2 linked regions of the Sus scrofa genome follow. The protein of the gene in region 2 interacts with the protein of the main gene of each other region in a biochemical or structural test. Links are inferred from orthologs where the notes say so. Each region holds a gene or a part of one and is shown on either strand. Other genes may lie near its edges.

Region 1 (3,490 bases), on a different chromosome or scaffold from region 2:
TATAAAAAGATTTCTATTAAAGTTGTTAAAGTCAAATTTGGCTTCTGGGAGGAATCCTCTATCTGGGAAAAAAAAATCTGCTTCAAAGCACCATGAATTCTGTTTCTCATAAATTGAGCATCATATAAAAAGAAAAATGTATATAAATAATGGCATTCCTAATTAATTTGAAGGTAGCCAAAGTAGTGAGAATTTTTGAAACTGTATTAATATGTATGTGCTTTTCTTGATTTAACAGCTTTTAACCTGGAGACCTGCCGGCTTATGGTTTCAATGCTGGATGTATCCTTTACCTTGATTGCTGTCTAGAGTATTTTTTTCTGGCTGGAAAAATAAATTTTTCCTGAGGATTAAGGAAGTAAGAATTCATTCCTTGGAGTTCCCGTCGTGGCTCAGTGGTTAACGAAACTGACTAGCATCCATGAGGACACGGGTTGGATCCTTGGCCTCGTTCAGTGGGTTAAGGATCCAGTGTTGCTGTGAGCTCTGGTGTAGGTTGCAGACGTGGCTCGGATCCCATGCTGCTGTGGCTATGGTGTAGGCCAGTGGCTACAGCTCCGATTCAACTCCTAGCCTGGAACCTCCATATGCTGGGGGTGTGGTCCTAAAAATACAAAAGACAAAAAAAGAAAAAAAAAAAAAAAGAATTCATTACTTGGTGTGAATTCTTAACTGAGATGCCATTTGCTGTGAAAAAGGAGAGAAGCATAGTAAATAGAGCATATTGATTAGTTAAGAATTTGAGGAAGCAGGAGTTCTTGTCTTGGCCCAGCAGAAACGAATCTGACTAGTATCCATGAGTTTACAGGTTCGATCCCTGCTCACTCAGCGAGTTAAGGATCCAGTGTTGCCATGAGCTGTGGTGTAGGTCACAGAGGAGGCTCGCATCTTGCACGTTGCTGTGGCTATGATGTAGGCTGGCGGCTACATCTCTGATTCAACCCCTAGCCTGGAAACTCCCATATGCCACGGGTATAGCCTAAAAAGACAAAAAAAAAAAAAAAAAAAAAAAAAAAAAAAAAAAAACCCAAAGAATTTGAGGAAGCACCAAAGGCAAACAAGGACAGAAACTAAAGCAGTGGGGGGGGAGGCTTTGGCACTTGTGAAATTGATGACTCTGCTCAATTGACACCTGACCTTCAAGCAATGGGATTTTTCACATCAGGGTTGTTAGACTTGGTTGAACTAGTGCTGACCTGGTGGTGCCTTCTTCCCACCTCATTTTCCAAAGTGAAAACACTGGGTTTGGGAGGGTGGGAGGGTTCACCAGGGGAATGGGAGGGCTAAAGAGGACCGGGGCAGACGGCTCAGCCTTATTGCCTGGGCCACCAGAAAGTGCAGCCCAGTTTGGTCCCCTGACTGCTTGTTACAGGTGGTGAACAGTGGCCTCTTTATTTCCTTGTAATCCTATCATAAAGATTACCTTTTTCCATAGTGGAACATATATACTCAGAGCTTTTTCTCCACAGGCCCTTTTTATTATATATTGGGGCATCTTTGTCCTATCATCCCCCAAAAATGTATAACTTTTGAACCCTTTCAACTGAAAGAACATTGAATCCCCTCATCCTTGATCTTTGATTTAATCATGAGAAACTATTACAAGCTCAAGATGCTGTAATCCTTGATGACAGTTCAGAGAGATATGTCCGGCACAATGGGTTTCAATGAATTCAAAGAACTCTGGGCTGTGCTGAATGGCTGGAGGCAGCACTTTATCAGTTTTGACAGCGACAGGAGTGGGACAGTGGATCCTCAAGAACTGCAGAAGGCCCTGACCACAATGGGTGGGTATGCCGGACCCCCACGCTCTTCATTGGTAGGAGTCTTTTTTTTTTTTTTAATTCATAAAACTTAAGTGCCACGTGAAAGCGGTGTCTATTTTCCAGAAGTCATGTGTATTCATAATTTAAAGGAGCCCTGTCTTAAACAAATGTGCTTGGTTATTTTTAAAGGTCTTTTTGTAATCCTTGAACCTTTTTCTTTTCTTTTTTTTTTTTTTTTTTTGCTGGATGATTTCTCTTCCTTCCAGGATTTAGATTGAGTCCCCAGGCCGTGAATTCAATTGCAAAACGATACAGCACCAATGGCAAGATCACCTTTGATGATTACATCGCCTGCTGTGTCAAGCTGCGTGCTCTTACAGGTGTGGCCTCTGAGGTTGCTGTTAATTGTAGTAGCCAGCAGAATCACTCTGTTCTCTCAGAACATTTTTTCACATTTCTAAGTAATCTGCCATTCAAATCATCCTTACTCAACTTTGCTAAAATGGTCTAAAATTTCACAAGCTAACTGGTCTGTTTTTGGTCAGAGTGTGAACAGTATCCTGTGATTTCTCCCTAGACCGTGAAACACTTGAGAAGAATGAAATTATCCTTTGGTAGTTTCTCTTACCTAATTCCTCTTGTTGAAAAGTAATGTAAAATAATAGTCTCTGTCTCACATGTGCTTCTTAAGCAATATCAATAATCTCTACTTTTCTCTCTCTTTTTCTTTCTTCTGCATGTTTTTTTTTTTTTTTTTACTCCATTCCTCTCTTTAGTTTTTTACCCTTTTTAATATCTGGTTTTATCATTTTTTTGCACAAATGCAAAGACAGATTTTTAAGTAAATCCTTTTCATTTAATAGGACAGAGCTCAAAGAGGTGGAATATTTAAAATGATCACAGCTGTTTGTCCTACTAAAGACACCATCCATCTTCTAATTAAACAATAAGAAGTCTGAAAATATGTGCTTCCATTAACAATTAAGGAATGGGGTGTTCCTGTGGTGGCTCACTGGGTTAAGGACCTGATGTTGTTTCTCTGAGGTTGTGGGTTCAATCCCTGACCTCGCTCAGTGGGTAAAGACTCTGGTGCTGTGGTGTAGGCCTCAACTGCAGCTCCGTCCAACTCAAACCCTAGCTAGGAACATCCATATGCTACAGGTGCAGTCATTAAAAAAAAAAAAAATTAAGGAATGGCCTGAGAAGTCACATGGCTTTTACTGACTTTGGGATAAGGTGTTTTCTTCCAGCTACAGGCTGAGAAAGACAGTTGGCCAACTTCTGCATGTTGTATTACTTGGTTGCATATTAAATCTATTCACATTCGTATAGTTGGCTTCTTTGCTTTAGTCTTTGTTTATATTGGCTGGTTGAACAGTTTAAACCCACTTTAGACTGCATCTTGAACCCAGTACCAACATAATTAACAATTATGATTTCAGATAAGATGTTTACACAACACTCATAAATTTGACTGTGGTGTTTTACAGACAGCTTTCGAAGACGGGATACTGCTCAGCAAGGTGTTGTGAATTTCCCATATGATGATGTAAGTCTCAGTAAATTCAGAACTGGGTAGACAAGGAAGGCGTGCGGCAAATGGGCATCTCTTTGAAGTTGGCTGTTGAGAGCATCTCAAGGATGCCAGCACAACCGAGGATTAAATGACCAGGAGTTCCCATTCAAAACACATTGAAAAACCTGGGTCAGAGCCCAGCCTGTAG
Region 2 (4,278 bases):
TGCAGCTAGGATTTGGTGTTGCAGTGGTTGTGTAGGCCTCAGCTGCATCTCCGATTCAACTTCTAGCCTGGGGACTTCTGTATTCCTTAGGTATGGCCAGTAAAAAAAAAAAAAGGGGGGGGCAGTGCTTTCTAAGTGGAGGAAGCATGAGAAAAGACCTCTGATCTTGGAAGGCCTTATGTGTCAGGAAAGAAGGACAAAGGATTAAGTGGGAAATCTAGTGTTCCTGCCTGAATAGGCTTTTGGATATTTTGGCCCTAAAACTCGGGAAAGTGGGCTTGGAAATAGAGGTTTGGGAAATAACCTCTTAAGGTGATAGTTAAGGCAGAGAGAAGGGTGAGGATGAGGTCACCAAGGAAGGAAGGTTGAGCAAAGAGGAGTGAGAACAGGCTTCTTAGGGAATGCTTAAATTCCAGAGGTCTCCAGGCAGGTTGGACAGAAAAGCCCAATATTTGCCAGACAGACTGGTGGGAGCTGGGAGATTAATGCTGGGTACCCAGAGTGTGGTGCAGTTTTGTTTAAATTCCACAGTGATCTTCCTCAAGTACCTTCCACTTTCCCCTGTTTTAGAGACATGTTTATCTTGCTCTTCCCACCTAAAAATTTAATCCACCCTATTTCACCCCCGTGGGAAAGATTTCTGGTGGAAAAGCATATGAAGTAATAGGTTGATGGTTCTCCAACTGGTGTGCATAGAACCACCTAGAGAGCTTGTTAAAATAGACTTCTGGACTTCACCTTTAGAGTTTAATTCAGTCGGTCTAAGGTGAAGTCCAATAATTTGCATTTCTAGTAAGTTTCCAGGTAATGTGGTGGCTGTTGGTTTGGGGCCACAGTTTGAGAACCATTGGAAAAGGTAGCCAACTGGTTTTTGCTCTGGATTAAATTTCCTTAATGAGTTTAAGATACTGATCTGGGCCCTTGAAATTGCCTCAAATGTTTAATGCCGCGGTGTATGTCATGATAGGGCTCTAGTGTGAGGGGAGCCTAGAATCACCTTGCAACTCCCTTCTGGAGTGGTATTGATTAGTGTATCTCGTGTTGTGCCTATTAAGGATCTCCATAAATATTAATTTATTTCACGCCGTCCTTGGCCTTAGAACAGGCGAGGGAAGATGGCATATCAGGCGGAGAGGCTGCACCTGGCCTCCCAGTCTTGAGTCCATCTCTGCCGCTCACCACTAAAGGGGCGGCAGAGAACCGTCGTTAGACCCTTTCAACGGTTCCCTTGGCTTTAACGGCTTTAACTTCCCAAGGGCCTTGAGAGAGCCCAGAAGGAACTGGCGCATGGACCTTGGTAACAAGAAGTGAGATTAGAACTGGCTTATTGCGCCCGAAGAGAGCGTCCTCTCTCAGGTGGTGGGTCCCCGGCTGGCCCTGCGGCCCCGCCCCCTCCTGCCCCAGGGGCGTTCCCGGCAGTCGCGGCTGGCGATCCTAACGGGCTCGGGAGGCGGCCCTGGGCGCCCCGCCTTTCCCCCCGCCCTCCCCGGCTCCATCTTGCCAGCGACCGAGCCGGAGTGTGTGTGACGCTGCTCCCCGGGTTCAGGTGAGGAACGGCGCCCCCTGCCCTTGCCACCGCGCGTCCCCCTCGGTCTTGTCGCCGCGGCCCGCTCCGAGGCCTGCCATCCGGGGGAGGGCGGGGCCCCGCGCGTGTCCTGGAGCCGCGGGGCGGTGGAGGGGCCTGTGGGCCAGCCGGGTGGCGGGCGTCGCGGTGTGCGCGTCGCGGGACCCAGGATGCCTAGTGGGGGCGTTGGGCCTGGGGCGTATTGGGGCGGAATCTGCGCGGCGACCCGGCTACCGGAAGACCTGTTCACTTGTCTGTCCACAGTTTGGAGGAAGCAATGACGCCTCCCACGCAGGCAGGTGGGCCGCAGGTGGAGGGACTGAGGCCAGGGCACGGCCCTGCTGAAGCGGCCTCAGGGAGGGCTGAGTAAGAAAACCAGCGAGCAGCACCGAAGGCTAGTCCAGCCGGGGGGGTCTAGACTTGCTGGTGACACAGCAAATTTAGGGAAACTTAAGAAATTTGTACTTTGCTTAGAGACACCCCCTTCCCCCGCCCCCAGGACAGAACCTGTAAACCTGGCTCAGGTCTATAATCCTTGGAAACTCTCCTAGGAAGTCGCATTCCAGATTTGGTGCCTATTCCCTGAACAGCAGCAAACATGTGAGCCCAACCTGTGTGAACACTTCTACAGAAGGAAATGCTTGTTGTCCCCCCAAAAGTGACAGAAATGAAGTCTTCTAATTGCTTTTAAACTCCCTCATTTCTCCCAGTTGATGGGTAGCTGATCTGATAAAGTAATCTGTCCTAGTTAGATAATGCCTGGAATGAGTTACTTCTCAGGCAGGGAAGCAGTTTCAAGTGGATAGGCCGCTAAAAGAGAATTTTGCCCTGAGCCTTGCAATCCTCTGGTGTTGGTTGCCTACCCTGCCCATGCAGAGGCTAGTCAGGACTCCAATTCTCTACTGAAGGGCCCTTGCTGATGGATTTAAAAGGTCCTTCCCAATCAAGAGACACGTTTTGGAAAATTGTAGTATCTGCTCTTGGCCATCTTCATTCACTGTTCCTGTTTCATATTTGTTTCATTAATTTACAACAGCTGCCTCCTGTGTTCTTGGGCTTCATGCCATTTATGAGACTTGCATAGTGAGACCCACGCCTTTTAGTAGTTGACTCACTGGGTGGAGATGCTTTGTGGAACCAAGATTACTTTCCTAGTCATTTAAAAGTATTTGCTGATGGAGAATGTTAAAAAGAAAATAAAATTTCTGGTTCACTGGTGTAGTCTAATTATTCCTTGGGCAAAATTGAGTTGTTTGTTGAGTCACCCTTGAGTTTGTTTAAGCTTTTTACAAAAGCTTTTTAAATCTACTTTTTGAATAGATGATACATGCACAATTCCAAAACGGTTAGGTGCATCGAAAAGTAAGTCTCCTTGTTATGTCCCAGCCCTCCTCTTAGAAGGCAGCCACTATTAACTGCTTTCTTGATTGAGTATACTTTCAGAGATATTCTCTCCACATACAAGCAAATAAATGTATTTTCTTTACACATTTGTTTGCAAAGTATCTATGCAGTTTTCCACCTTTCTTTCCATTTAATGTGACTTAGAGATAGTATCACATATGAGTAAAAAGAGAGTTGCTCATTTTAAATAGTTCCATAACATTTCAGTGTATGGTTACCTATAATCTATTTCACTTGTCCCTTTTTAATGGACTTTTAGATTGTTTTTATTTTTTTATTTTTAAAAAATTTTTTTTTTGTCTTTTTTTTTTTGTCTTTTTGCTATTTCTTGGGCCGCTCCCACGGCATATGGAGGTTCCCAGGCTAGGGGTTGAATCGGAGCTGTAGCCACCGGCCTACGCCAGAACCACAGCAACGCGGGATCCGAGCCGTGTCTGCAACCTACACCACAGCTCACGGCAACGACAGATCCTTAACCCACTGAGCAAGGGCAGGGACCGAACCTGCAACCTCATGGTTCCTAGTCGGATTCGTTAACCACTGCGCCACGACGGGAACTCCTAGATTGTTTTTAATCTTTTTCCATTACAAGTAGTGCTGTAATGAAATGAATAGCCTTGTATGAATATAATTTTGCATTTGTGCAAGTATTTCTATAAGGTACATCTTGGAAATGGAATTGCATTATAGTCCTTTATATACTTATATATTTTTTTAATTATATGGCTGCACCCATGGCATATGGAAGTTCCCGAGCCAGTGATTGAATCCCAGCCGCAGCTGTGACCTATGCCACAGCTGTGGCAATGCCGGATCCTTTAACCCATTGCACTGGACCAGGGATCGAACCCATGCCTCCACAGAACCTGAGCCACTGCAGTCAGACTCTTAACCCACGCACCACAGAGGGAACCCCTATATAATTATTCTTCAAAATGTACCCAAATTCATTTTCTTTAAATTGCTTTAAGTTTTCTCATATGCAGATAGTCTACTTCATCTTCATTCTGTTCTGAAACTCTTGTTGACATAATTCCTCTAGGGTCCTTAAAGGTAAGATTTGATATAGTAGCTAAAGAATATAGAAATGAACTTAACTGTATCTTGAAACAGTTCTCAAGATTTAGAAATTTAAATTGCTTATGTAGTCTTTGGTGCTGTAACACTTGTTGCCTTTAAAGTTATGAATTTCTCTCATAAATTGTTTTCAGATTTTTCCCCTTTCTTTTGACCTTGACCTCTTTTGCCCTTGGTTCATCTGACTGTCCTTAGATGATGTTGTTTCTCCTTTATTCATTTTATCAACTGTG

The links.
Region 1: the proteins of ANXA7 (region 2) and SRI interact in a biophysical measurement, tested with the Homo sapiens proteins (2 studies listed by BioGRID and IntAct, with this or other methods). The link is inferred for Sus scrofa from reciprocal best matches to the Homo sapiens genes ANXA7 and SRI.

Annotation. Positions count from the first base shown.
Region 1 is NC_010451.4:68,495,659-68,499,148, reverse strand, and holds part of SRI (sorcin), read left to right. Parts: intron 1-238; coding exon 239-282; intron 283-1,639; coding exon 1,640-1,787; intron 1,788-2,032; coding exon 2,033-2,146; exon of another isoform or gene 2,147-3,256; coding exon 3,257-3,315; intron 3,316-3,490. UniProt on the Homo sapiens protein: Calcium-binding protein that modulates excitation-contraction coupling in the heart. Contributes to calcium homeostasis in the heart sarcoplasmic reticulum. Modulates the activity of RYR2 calcium channels.
Region 2 is NC_010456.5:76,231,765-76,236,042, reverse strand, and holds the start of ANXA7 (annexin A7), read left to right. Parts: upstream 1-1,396; 5' UTR 1,397-1,546; intron 1,547-4,278. UniProt on the Homo sapiens protein: Calcium/phospholipid-binding protein which promotes membrane fusion and is involved in exocytosis.